Linked DNA regions of Macaca mulatta. The protein of the gene in region 2 interacts with the protein of the main gene of each other region in a biochemical or structural test. Links are inferred from orthologs where the notes say so. Each region holds a gene or a part of one and is shown on either strand. Other genes may lie near its edges. The genes, in order: H2AZ1, RNF168 and H2AX.

Region 1 (3,591 bases), on a different chromosome or scaffold from region 2:
ACGATTTTTACAAAATGCTGTGAGCCAAGCTGTTAATTCCAACTACCACCAGAACTCGGTACTTTCAAATAAGAAAGCCTGCTTCTCTTCAATAAAATGGAGATAGTATATCCCCAATGATGTTACTGAGCACTTAACAATTTCAATTTCAGACTTCAAAGCAGGGCCTAGCACGTAGCACTATTAGCTTCAGAGTTTAAATTCGGAGTTCATTATGTGGATATACAGGACATTCCTACCTATTCTCTCCCTCCCCAAGTCCACCACACTAACAGCATACTAGTGCAGTGCTGTCACACAGCAAGCAAAGTCAATGCACAAACTGAAATGCTCCCACTCCAGCTCCTGACAACTTTTTAAATTAAAACTTTAGTAGCTTATTATATAACATTAAAAATATATACTTGGTCTATCTCACTTTGTTGATCTAGATTTGACAGGTCAGTCACAAAGAAATGTGCTTAGTTATTGCTGCTAGATATTCAAAACAAATTCATATTACAATCAAGCCAATTTAATACACAACTAGTTTGGGATATGACCTTTATTGAGCTTATCCACCAGAGTGGAAATAATGTCTGTACAAAACCAAATGTTTGTTACTATAACTTCTGCATCACAATTAAAATCCAAACAGTTTTTTAAAAACAGTCAACTCAATCAAAACCCACTACTTCAGAATCAATAGCTTCTTTGAAGCCACAGTAACACTTAAATATGGTTAAGACTCGAATGCAGAAATTTGGTTGGTTGGAAAGCTAATTAAACTTCCAACTTGCTCAAATAGAATTACAAAAAGGCAAAATTGTGTTTTTCACAGAGATACAGTCCACTGGAATCACCAACACTGGACAGCTGTTAGAGTATTTAGAGTCCTGAGATAACAAGGAATCCAGGCATCCTTTAGACAGTCTTCTGTTGTCCTTTCTTCCCAATCAGAGATTTGTGGATGTGTGGAATGACACCTAGGAGAGTGACAGGAATTAATTCTACTTAAGATTTTTTTTTTAAAATCACAGTATTTGAAACCAAAAAAAGTATACTGTTCAAGTATCTTTAAAAACGTGCAGCTCAAGTATGAAGTAAAAATTCAGTTATACATATGAATCAAATTTCATGATAAAACCATACTTGCATCAATGAAAATATACTTAAATTTTCTCTTCTAGAAAAACTAATGAAATTAAAGCAGCAAAGAATTCCTTCCTCTGAAGAAATTTTTAAAAATTTTAGAAGTTAACATACCACCACCAGCAATTGTAGCCTTGATGAGCGAATCCAATTCTTCATCTCCACGAATAGCAAGTTGCAAGTGACGAGGGGTAATACGCTTTACCTTTAAGTCTTTTGATGCATTTCCTGCCAGTTCAAGTACCTAGAAGGCAGAATCTAATCAGTTCCCTTCCAACTTTCCTTTGGCCAAGATTCAGAGAACAGAATAAAACCCTCACAAACGCTTATCTACCAACTGGAGTCGTTCCCCACTATCTGACTGGCAAGATATACAGGGGGCACGCAATTTTAATTCCAAGAGCAGAGAACTCAAGCTCAGTAGGATCCTTGTTGAACAGCAGCTCCCTCTAGCGTTCTCTTAGGCCTCTCGCCGCGTTCAGGGCCTGTGAGTTTTCTTGCATCACTTTCCTCCTTCCCTCTTGCCGTCTCCCCGCCCCCCAAACCTTCTCCGGATTATAGGCGTTCACCCATTTACCTCTGCGGTGAGGTACTCCAGGATGGCTGCGCTGTACACAGCGGCAGTCGCGCCCACACGTCCATGACTGGTCGTCCTAGATTTCAGGTGTCGATGAATACGGCCCACTGGGAACTTAAATTTTAAGCATACACAAACATAAATGCACAAAAATAGGAGAACTAGAGATGGGGAAATTATATGCGCGCCAAAGCAAGTGGCACGGGCGCAGCAACGCGTCCCGACATCGAAACACGTGATTCCTCCCCCCCATATTTATCGTATGGGCAGCCCAAGTCGCGACACCGCATCACCCACGCATAGACGAAACGCCCATGGAGAGCGGTGAATAACAAAAAAGGAGATGCAAAGAAAAACATCACGACTCCCAGACCGCACGAACAACTACTGACCTGCAAGCCGGCTCTCTGCGAGCGGGAAACCGCCTTTGTCTTGGCCTTTCCGGAGTCCTTTCCAGCCTTACCGCCAGCCTGCGGCGCGCACACGCCCGCGAGCGGAGGAGGAACGGAGAATATAGAATTACCAAGGCGGCGCGCCCATCCCCCACCGCGGCGCGTCCCGCCGCGAGCGCGTCCCCGCACCCCGCCGGGGTCTCTGGCCCGCGGCGCGCCGCAGGGGCGACCCCGCCCGTCCGCCCCCCGCCGCGCGCTCGCCGCGGCCGCGCGCCTCCGCCCGCCCGCCGGCCCCCAGCGGCGCTGCGCGCGCCACCCAACCGTCGCCGCCCGCCGCGAGATCCGAGGCTGCTCCGCTAGCAGCCGACAAAACACCTCCCCCCGCTCTTCTTAATCCTGTCTCCGCGCGTTCCCAACCGTCGCCACTTCACCCCCATCCCCCGTGTAACGGGTTTTTCTCCCGCCGGCAAAAACCCGCGAAGTCATCGAGCGTCTCTGCGAAGTTTACCATTTCGAATTCTGCTGAAGCTCAAGCAAGCAAGGCAGAGAAAAGGCTAATCGGACCCACGGTGAGATCCCACCACCTACTCCTTCGTCGCACCGCGATTCAAACTGCGCTGTCTCCCGCCTTCCCTGCTCCCTTTATACTGCAGAATGTTCCCTCATCCGGGAACTCGGATTGCTCATCCCACCAATGGCTGCCACCCGCCCTCGGGACGCGTCCTTGAGACTTCAGCCAATGAGCAAGCAAAGAAAAGGGTGGAGGGGCGGGCGCTTCTAAGCTCAAGCCGCGATTGGGACGTGAGGAGCGAAGCGGGGGAGGGCGGAGGGATGGGAACGGGGGAGAAGAAGGGCACCGCGGCGGGAGGGAAGAAACAGAGCAAGCTACTCTGCGGGAGCGCAGTTACCAGCCAGCTGCGGTCACGTGCCGGGGAGGAGGAGCTGAGACCTCAGGGGAGGGGCGCGCGGTAGCGCCCCGGGTCCCCTAGCAGGGCTTTGGAGACCACGTGAAGTCTCGTCCGTATCTAGCACGCAGCCCCCACCGCTCCCAACCCCACCCCCAGCGCCTCTCGGGCGGAGACCTGCGACCTGCAGCCGCCTTCCGGGGCCCCGGGCACCCTCTCCCGACCCTCTCAATCCCTGGCGGCTCTTCCAGTCTGACAGGTGGCGCGAACGCGTCCAGTGAGGGGAGGCTGAGGTTTGCCCTGACGCCTTCCTCAGCCTTAGTAGAGATTCCGTGTTTCTTCCCTCTAGGCGAATCCCCAGTCACCAACAACAGATCAGGACGGGTTGCTCCCACTTTATTTTCAGCCGGGTCTTCCACCTCTCCCTCACTACTTATGAAATCCCCCACGGAATAGTTCTGTAACAGCAAACGGTGAAGCCAAGTCACCTCACTGGTCACGAAACCCTTTTTGTTTACACTTAAGGAGCTTCTGGCGAGGCAGTATTCTTAAATCATAAACCGTATTTTTTGGAGACTACACATCA
Region 2 (3,711 bases):
GAAGAAATTGGAAACTTCATGCTCTGCTAATGGAAATGTAAAATGGTACAGCCACTGTAGAAAACAAATGTGGCAGTTCCTCAAAAAGCTAAACATGGAATTACCATAGCATCCAGCAATTCCGCTCTTAGATATGTAGACAAAAGAACTGAAAACAGGTATTCAAACAAATATTTGTACACAGATGTCCGTATTGCCAGTATTCAAATAACGAAAAGGTGAAAAAAACCAACGTCCATCCAATGGATAAACAAAATGTAACAAGTATATCCATAAAACAAATTATTATTCAGCCCGAAAAATGAAGTACTGATCCATGGAAACACGCTAAGAGAAATAAGCTAGACACACAAGATCCTATATTGTATAAGACTCTTATATGAAATACCTAGAATTGCCAGATTCATAGAGACAGAAAGTGGAATAGGTGCCAGGGGCTAGGGGGAAAGGTGAAATGGGTGGTCAGTGCTTCACGATTAGAGTTTATCTGGGGTGATGAAAAAGTTTTGGAAACAGTGGTGATGATTACATTGTGAATGTAATTAATTCTATTGAATTGTACTTAAAAATGGTTAAAATGTCAGTTTGTTATATATATTTTGGACAGTATTTTAAAAATTAATAATGCAATATATAAAAAACCATTAAATTGCACTTTTAAAAATTTTATTGAATTTATGTTACCCAGACTGGTCTCAACTCCTCGGTTCAAGCGATCCTCCCACCTCCGCCTCCCAAAGCGCTAGGATTACAGCTGTGAGCCACTGCACCCGGCCAAACTGCACACGTTTAGTAGGTGAACTGTTCGGTATGTGAGTATTTCAATAAAGCTGTTTTTCTTAAACTATTGTTTAAAAATGGTTAAAATGGCATTTTGGTTTTTTACCACAATAAAATACATAAACGTTTAAAAGGCAGGTACACATATAACTGTGACCAAAAAAAATTAAAAAAAAAAAAAAAGACCCGTAGACGAGAGCGCACAGACAGGAACCACTGCACGGCTTATTGCTCACACTAGCGGAGGAAAGAGTCAAGGGTTCAGTCTGGGGCTCCTGAGTCCACCGGGTGTAGGGGTTAGTGATAAAAAAGCGATTTTAGACTTGTTGCATGATTTTTGTTTTTGGAGACGGAGTCTCGCTCTGTCGCCCAGGCTGGAGTGCAGTGGCGCAATCTCGGCTCACTGCAAGCTCCGTCTCCCGGGTTCACGCCATTCTCCTGCCTCAGCCTCCCGAGTAGCTGGGACTACAGGCGCCGTCACCTCGCCCGGCTAGTTTTTGTATTTTTAGTAGAGACGGGGTTTCTCCGTGTTGGCCAGGCTGGTCACGATCGGCTCGTTGCATGACTAGGAGAATAAAGAATTACGTGAATGGAGATGTACACATAAGTAAATCAGAGGCCGGGCGCGGTGGCTCACTCCTGTAATCCCAGCGCTTTGGGAGGCTGAGGCGGGCGGATCACCGGAGGTCAGGAGTTCGAGACCAGCCTGACCAACATGATGAAAACCCGTCTCTGCGAAAATACAAAAATTCCGGGTGCGATGGTGCGCGCCTGTAGTCCCAGCTACTCGGCAGGCTGGGGCAGGAGAGTCGCTTGAACCCGGGAGGCGGAGGCTGCAGTGAGCCGAGATCGCGCCACTGCCCTGCAGCCTGGGCGAGAGCGAGACCCTGTCTCAAAAAAAAAAAAAAAAAAAAAAAAAAGAAGGCTCTAGACGGGCAATTCTTTAATTTTTAAAACAAACACCCATCGAACACAGCGCGGGCATCGTGACAAGGGACAAAATCTTGTCCTTGACTTTACAATCCATCGACATTTGGGGACCCATAAACCCCCAAACCTCTGAGAACTATTTAGACAAACATCAGTGGGGCTTTTTGGTTTGTTTGTACTTTTTAAATGGAGAAGCGATGATTCACCTTTTCAAAGATTTGCGGCTTTCGGCCAATAATCAGGCCGGGGTTTACTCACCCACTTCCTCGGACTCCTGCCCCGACGCTCTGAGCTTGCACTCCCGGGGATAGTGTTTCTGAATGACCTTCCACAGGTCCAGGTTGACGAGAGAATTCCTTCGGGTGTGGTACCGAGTCCACGAAGACACGCGGCGGCGACAGAAGGGGCAGCACAGACTCGCCTTCTCCACGGTCGCCTGGAAGCACGGTCTGCACAGCGTGTGGCTGCACGGCAGGGTCACGGGCTCCACGAGGATGTCCATGCAGATCCCGCACTGGCACTCGGACCGCGAGGGGACGGCGCCTTTGGGTAGAGCCATTTTAACACGTTAATAAAGTCGACTAAACGACGACACCTGCGCGAAAAACAATCCTATTTTCGGCCAACCACAGAGAAGGCAAAAGCACAGTTTTGTGTTTCAATATTGTGCCCAGAAGCGTATCAGAACTCGGAGAACAGGGGCATCCAACCCGTCTCGAAGCAAAAAGGCGCTCTCAGGGTCAGGCAAACAGGAACGCCCCGGAGGGCGGCGTCTTTGTCCATTTTCAAGGCAAACGTCCGGCAAGCAAACGACTGCAGGCTTTCGTCGGAGGAGCCGGGCTGCTCCGCGGCGTGAACACTGCGGCTGCGGCTCCCGGTGCAGCGAGGGGAGCGCGCCAAGTCCCCTCCTCCCCTCATCCGGAGAGGATGCTCCGCTCAGCTCGGGGCAGCCCGGCCCCGGGACGCGGCTCCGGGAGGAATCCCGAGCTCCGGCTGCTGCAGAACTTCCGCTTTGGCGCTGCTGCGGGGGCGACGCGCGACTCCCGGGTTCAGCTTCCCGGCGCCCGGCGCAGTTTCCCAGAGCTCCGCGCCCGGGTCCCTCTTGCGCAGCCAGAAGCCCTATTCGTTGCGGCGGCGCAGCAGCCACCGGGCAAGCGCCAGCAACGTCACAACCGCCCGCCAAAACCGCGCTTCCCACCCAGAAACCCGCCCAAGGTCGGACGCTCCCGGGGCGGGACTTCCGGCGTCTGCGCCCCGCCCGCCCTCCCAGCCGGAGAGGCCCAGCCCAGGCGTCGCCGCTCCTGCTGGTGCAGCCTGGGTGGAGCCTGACTTTCCCCGGAGATTTCTGCCAGGCCTCAGACACCCCGGGTTTCTTGGTTTCTGGGTAGAAAAAGGGAAACTGCAAAACAAATTCAACAGCCAAACACGGCCGGGCGCGGTGGCTCACGCCTGTAATCCCAGCACTTTGGGAGGCCGAGGCGGGCGGATCACCTGAGGTCGGGAGTTTGAGACCAGCCTGGCCAACATGGCCAAATCCCGTCTCTACTAAAAATACAAAATCAGCCGGGCCTGGTGGTGCGCGCCTGTAGTCCAGGTTACCTGGGAGGCTGAGGCAGAAGAATCGCTTAGACCCAGGAGGCGGAGGTTGCACTGAGCCGAGATCGCGCCGCTGCACTCCAGCCTGGGCGACAGCGAGACTCTGGCTTTAAAAAAAAAAAAAAAAAAAAGGCTGGGCGCGGTGGGTCACGCCTGTAATCCCAGCACTTTGGGAGGCCGAGGCAGGCGGATCACAAGGCCAGGAGATCGAGACCATCCTGGCTAACACGGTGAAACACCGTCTCTACTTTAAAAAAAAAAAAATATATATATATACACACACACACACACACACACACAAAATAAAATAGCCGGGCGAGGTGGCGGGCGCCTGTAGTCCCAGCTACTTGGGAGGCGGAGGCAGGAGAATGGCGGGAACCCGGGAGGCGGAGCTTGCAGTGAGCC
Region 3 (3,314 bases), on a different chromosome or scaffold from region 2:
GGGCACAGATGCCTCGGTTGCTGCTGTCCAGTGCCTACATCCCGGCCCTCAGTGCCCCATTCTCACTGCTGTCTGGGGAGTGATTACCTCAGAAGACTGAACTGCAGGGTTCAAGCCTTCCGGGGATTTGCCTCAGTTTGGGGCCTTGATGACTGCCTTGCCTCCTCAGTATGTGGGGGCTTCATCTCTTTAGAGAAGTCCAAGCCACAGCCTTTGAATGTAACCAACTCTACTAATAAACCAGCTCTGAAGGTGTTTTTGTGTGTGTGTGTGGGGGGGGGTTGGCGGGAAGATATGAACAAACACAAAGCCCTTTCATCCTTACCTCGGAGGCTGGGACTTTTGCCCAAAGTTCTCCTGGTACATCCTTTCTGCTTCTGCCTCAATAGTTTTCATTTCACACAGAATAAATTGTCTCGCAGGAACACCAAGAAACAGAGCCATAATCTTAAATTCCTATGGTTTGCTCCTTCTTCGGTTAACAGTAGAGCCTATTTATATTGCATGCCCCTCCCACCCCCACTATCAGGAAAGTATAGAAAGTCACTAATCCTACAACTCTCTTGCAAAATGAAAACAAATGCTCCATTTTTAGAAAAACAATCCTTTAATAAAATTAGTTCATCTAAAACTCCCCAATGCCTAAGGTTCTAGTCTTGGAAGGGTTAGCTGCAAAATTCCAGTTCGGAAGCCAACGGAGGCTCAGTCCAGACAGGGATTAACCGACTTGTGCTGGTATCTAGGTGCTTGGATTGCCGAGTTGAGTTTGCTGGAAGGGAAATGGGGAGGCCCGACAGGCTTGGCTGCCAGTCGGCTTCCGCGAAAACGACTCTTGCTGTCCACATAGCCAGCCGTGAAGCCAAACTGCAGGCCTCTGCCCTCCCCTAAATGTCCTCGTAGGAGGCAGTCACTCGGGAGGAAGATGTGCCTGTTACCAAGTGCTTCGTCCCGGCCCCAGCGCAGACCTATGAATGAAGATGGAGGGAGATCTGATGTGAAAGGCCTGGGTCCCGGCCGCAGAGGGGGCGCCAGACCGAAACCAGCGATCGTGTCTCTCCCACCAAAGCCTCCAGGCCAGCGGCCACGTCTGAAAGTCCTGGGCTAAGCACCACGCCGGGGGAGTGCCGGACACCCTGGCTGCAGCTGCCGAGGGCCTCACTCACCTTCAGGGCCGCCGGCCTCTCGGCCTGGACTGCCCACCTCGGCCCTGCGTCAGAGCGGAAGGCCAAGTCTTCCAGAAGGTGCTGCGGCCTCCCCGCAGCCCCTCAGCGACTCAGGATGGGGCAGCTGGCTGAGTCACGAGCGCCGAGGCGAGCAGGTGCGGCGCCGCCGGCCTCCCCCCGGCAGGCTCGGGTCCTCCGCGCCACGGTGGTCCCCGAAGAGTGCCCAAGCCGCGTCCAGAGGGCCCGAGCCCTACCGGAGGGCGGCCGGCGGATGGGGCAGGGCCCGAGGCCGACGCGGCAGGCGGTGCAGGCCAGGAGGGGGGCGGGCGGGGACTCGAGGCCGGGCGGCAAAGGCGGGCGATGGGAGGGGAAAGGAGCCGGGAGCCGCGGCCCGCTTGCCCCGCAGTCTGAAGTGGCTCAGCTCTTTCCATGAGGGCGGTGGTGGCCCTTAAAAGGGCCTTTGTGGTGGCATGGGGAGGCCTGGCGGCCGGCCGCGGCGCGGGCCCTCTTAGTACTCCTGGGAGGCCTGGGTGGCCTTCTTGCCGCCCGAGGGCGCCTTCGGCCCCACGGTGGCGCTGGTCTTCTTGGGCAACAGCACGGCCTGGATGTTGGGCAGGACGCCTCCCTGGGCGATCGTCACGCCGCCCAGCAGCTTGTTGAGCTCCTCGTCGTTGCGGATGGCCAGCTGCAGGTGGCGGGGGATGATTCGCGTCTTCTTGTTGTCGCGGGCCGCATTGCCCGCCAGCTCCAGGATCTCAGCGGTGAGGTACTCCAGCACTGCCGCCAGGTACACGGGCGCGCCGGCGCCAACGCGCTCGGCGTAGTGGCCCTTCCGCAGCAGCCGGTGTACACGGCCCACTGGGAACTGGAGGCCGGCGCGCGACGAGCGCGACTTGGCCTTGGCGCGGGCCTTGCCGCCAGTCTTGCCGCGGCCCGACATGCTAGCGAGGTAGACCGGTGAAGTACAACGGTTCAGAGACACCCCAACAGAAGCCCGCCGCAGTGTAACTGCTGTCGCGCGCGCGCCGTGAGGCCGCCTTTATAAGCCCCCAGGACACACCTCTGCGCCCTCCTGATTGGCTCTTTTCTCCAATACCCGCCTCCGGTTGGTTGCGGTTAACCCTTGGGTGTCGCGCCTCGGCTGAGGGAGCGCGCGCTGATTGGTCGAATTTGAAAACCTTTTGCCCGGGGAGAAAAGGCGAGGAGGCGGGGTAGCACGCAGACGGCCAAACACCCGCTTATGTAGCCAATCCTTGTAAAGCGCGCGAGATTTAAACACTACAGTCGGAAGGCAGAACCGGAAGACAAAAGGGGTGGAGTCTGAGGCCACCTAGAGAGCGTCTGGGAAATCTGTGCTGGCGTAGGATGTTTAAAGGAAAGGGGTCAATACTATAGCTACCCTTTCCAGGTCCGGTCACTCCACACTCCCTTCTCCTACCTGACAAAGGGAGAATGGAAAAGGGAAGAAATTAGACCCCTTAAAGTTTTCTTTTTCTTTCTTTCTTTTCTTTCTTGTTTTTAATAGACCAGGTCTTGCTTGCTGTCACCCAGGCTGGAGTGCAGTGGTGTGATCTCAGCTCACTGCAAGCCTCGGACTCCTGGGCTCAAGGGATCCTTCCTGCTTAACCTCCCGAGTAGATGGTACTACAAATGCTCCACTACAGTGGGCTAATTATTTATTTTTGTAGAGACGGAGTCTCGTTTTGTTGCCCAGGCTGTCTTGAATTCCTGAGCTCAGGCAATCCTCCTGCCTCGGCCTCCTAAAGTGCTGGGATTACAGGCATGAGCCACTGTACCTGGTGTCTTTGAAAGTTTGACCCCATGCCAGGAAACAGGATAACTTCAATTTTGTGGCCCTCCATGCCACCTGAAGTATCAGGATTTAAATGTTTATTCAATATGTTCTGTTTGGTCTCAGTTCTGTTCACTTCTTGTTAGACGGGGTCTGGTGGGGCAGAGAGATAGGCATCCTGTTGGAGGAAGTACCCCCACCTACCCTCCCAATCCACCCAAAAATGCCCATATAGGAAATATACCTACAGGAACAATAAGAAATAGACAACACTTTATTGTCTCCATTGAGAGCATGTGGCCCCCTGCTTACTTCTTACTAATCAGAACACTTAATTTACAATCAAATAACAGGTCACT

The links.
Region 1: of the proteins of RNF168 (region 2) and H2AZ1, one has a biochemical effect on the other in vitro, tested with the Homo sapiens proteins (3 studies listed by BioGRID, with this or other methods). The link is inferred for Macaca mulatta from reciprocal best matches to the Homo sapiens genes RNF168 and H2AZ1.
Region 3: of the proteins of RNF168 (region 2) and H2AX, one has a biochemical effect on the other in vitro, tested with the Homo sapiens proteins (2 studies listed by BioGRID). The link is inferred for Macaca mulatta from reciprocal best matches to the Homo sapiens genes RNF168 and H2AX.

Annotation. Positions count from the first base shown.
Region 1 is NC_133410.1:109,266,972-109,270,562, forward strand, and holds H2AZ1 (H2A histone family, member Z), read right to left. Parts: upstream 2,668-3,591; 5' UTR 2,612-2,667; coding exon 2,609-2,611; intron 2,179-2,608; coding exon 2,101-2,178; intron 1,823-2,100; coding exon 1,709-1,822; intron 1,376-1,708; coding exon 1,246-1,375; intron 966-1,245; coding exon 904-965; 3' UTR 527-903; downstream 1-526. UniProt on the Homo sapiens protein: Variant histone H2A which replaces conventional H2A in a subset of nucleosomes. Nucleosomes wrap and compact DNA into chromatin, limiting DNA accessibility to the cellular machineries which require DNA as a template.
Region 2 is NC_133407.1:2,047,830-2,051,540, forward strand, and holds the start of RNF168 (E3 ubiquitin-protein ligase RNF168), read right to left. Parts: upstream 2,897-3,711; 5' UTR 2,270-2,896; coding exon 1,969-2,269; intron 1-1,968. UniProt on the Homo sapiens protein: E3 ubiquitin-protein ligase required for accumulation of repair proteins to sites of DNA damage. Acts with UBE2N/UBC13 to amplify the RNF8-dependent histone ubiquitination.
Region 3 is NC_133419.1:119,778,613-119,781,926, forward strand, and holds H2AX (histone H2A.x), read right to left. Parts: upstream 2,179-3,314; 5' UTR 2,104-2,178; coding exon 1,672-2,103; 3' UTR 589-1,671; downstream 1-588. UniProt on the Homo sapiens protein: Variant histone H2A which replaces conventional H2A in a subset of nucleosomes. Nucleosomes wrap and compact DNA into chromatin, limiting DNA accessibility to the cellular machineries which require DNA as a template.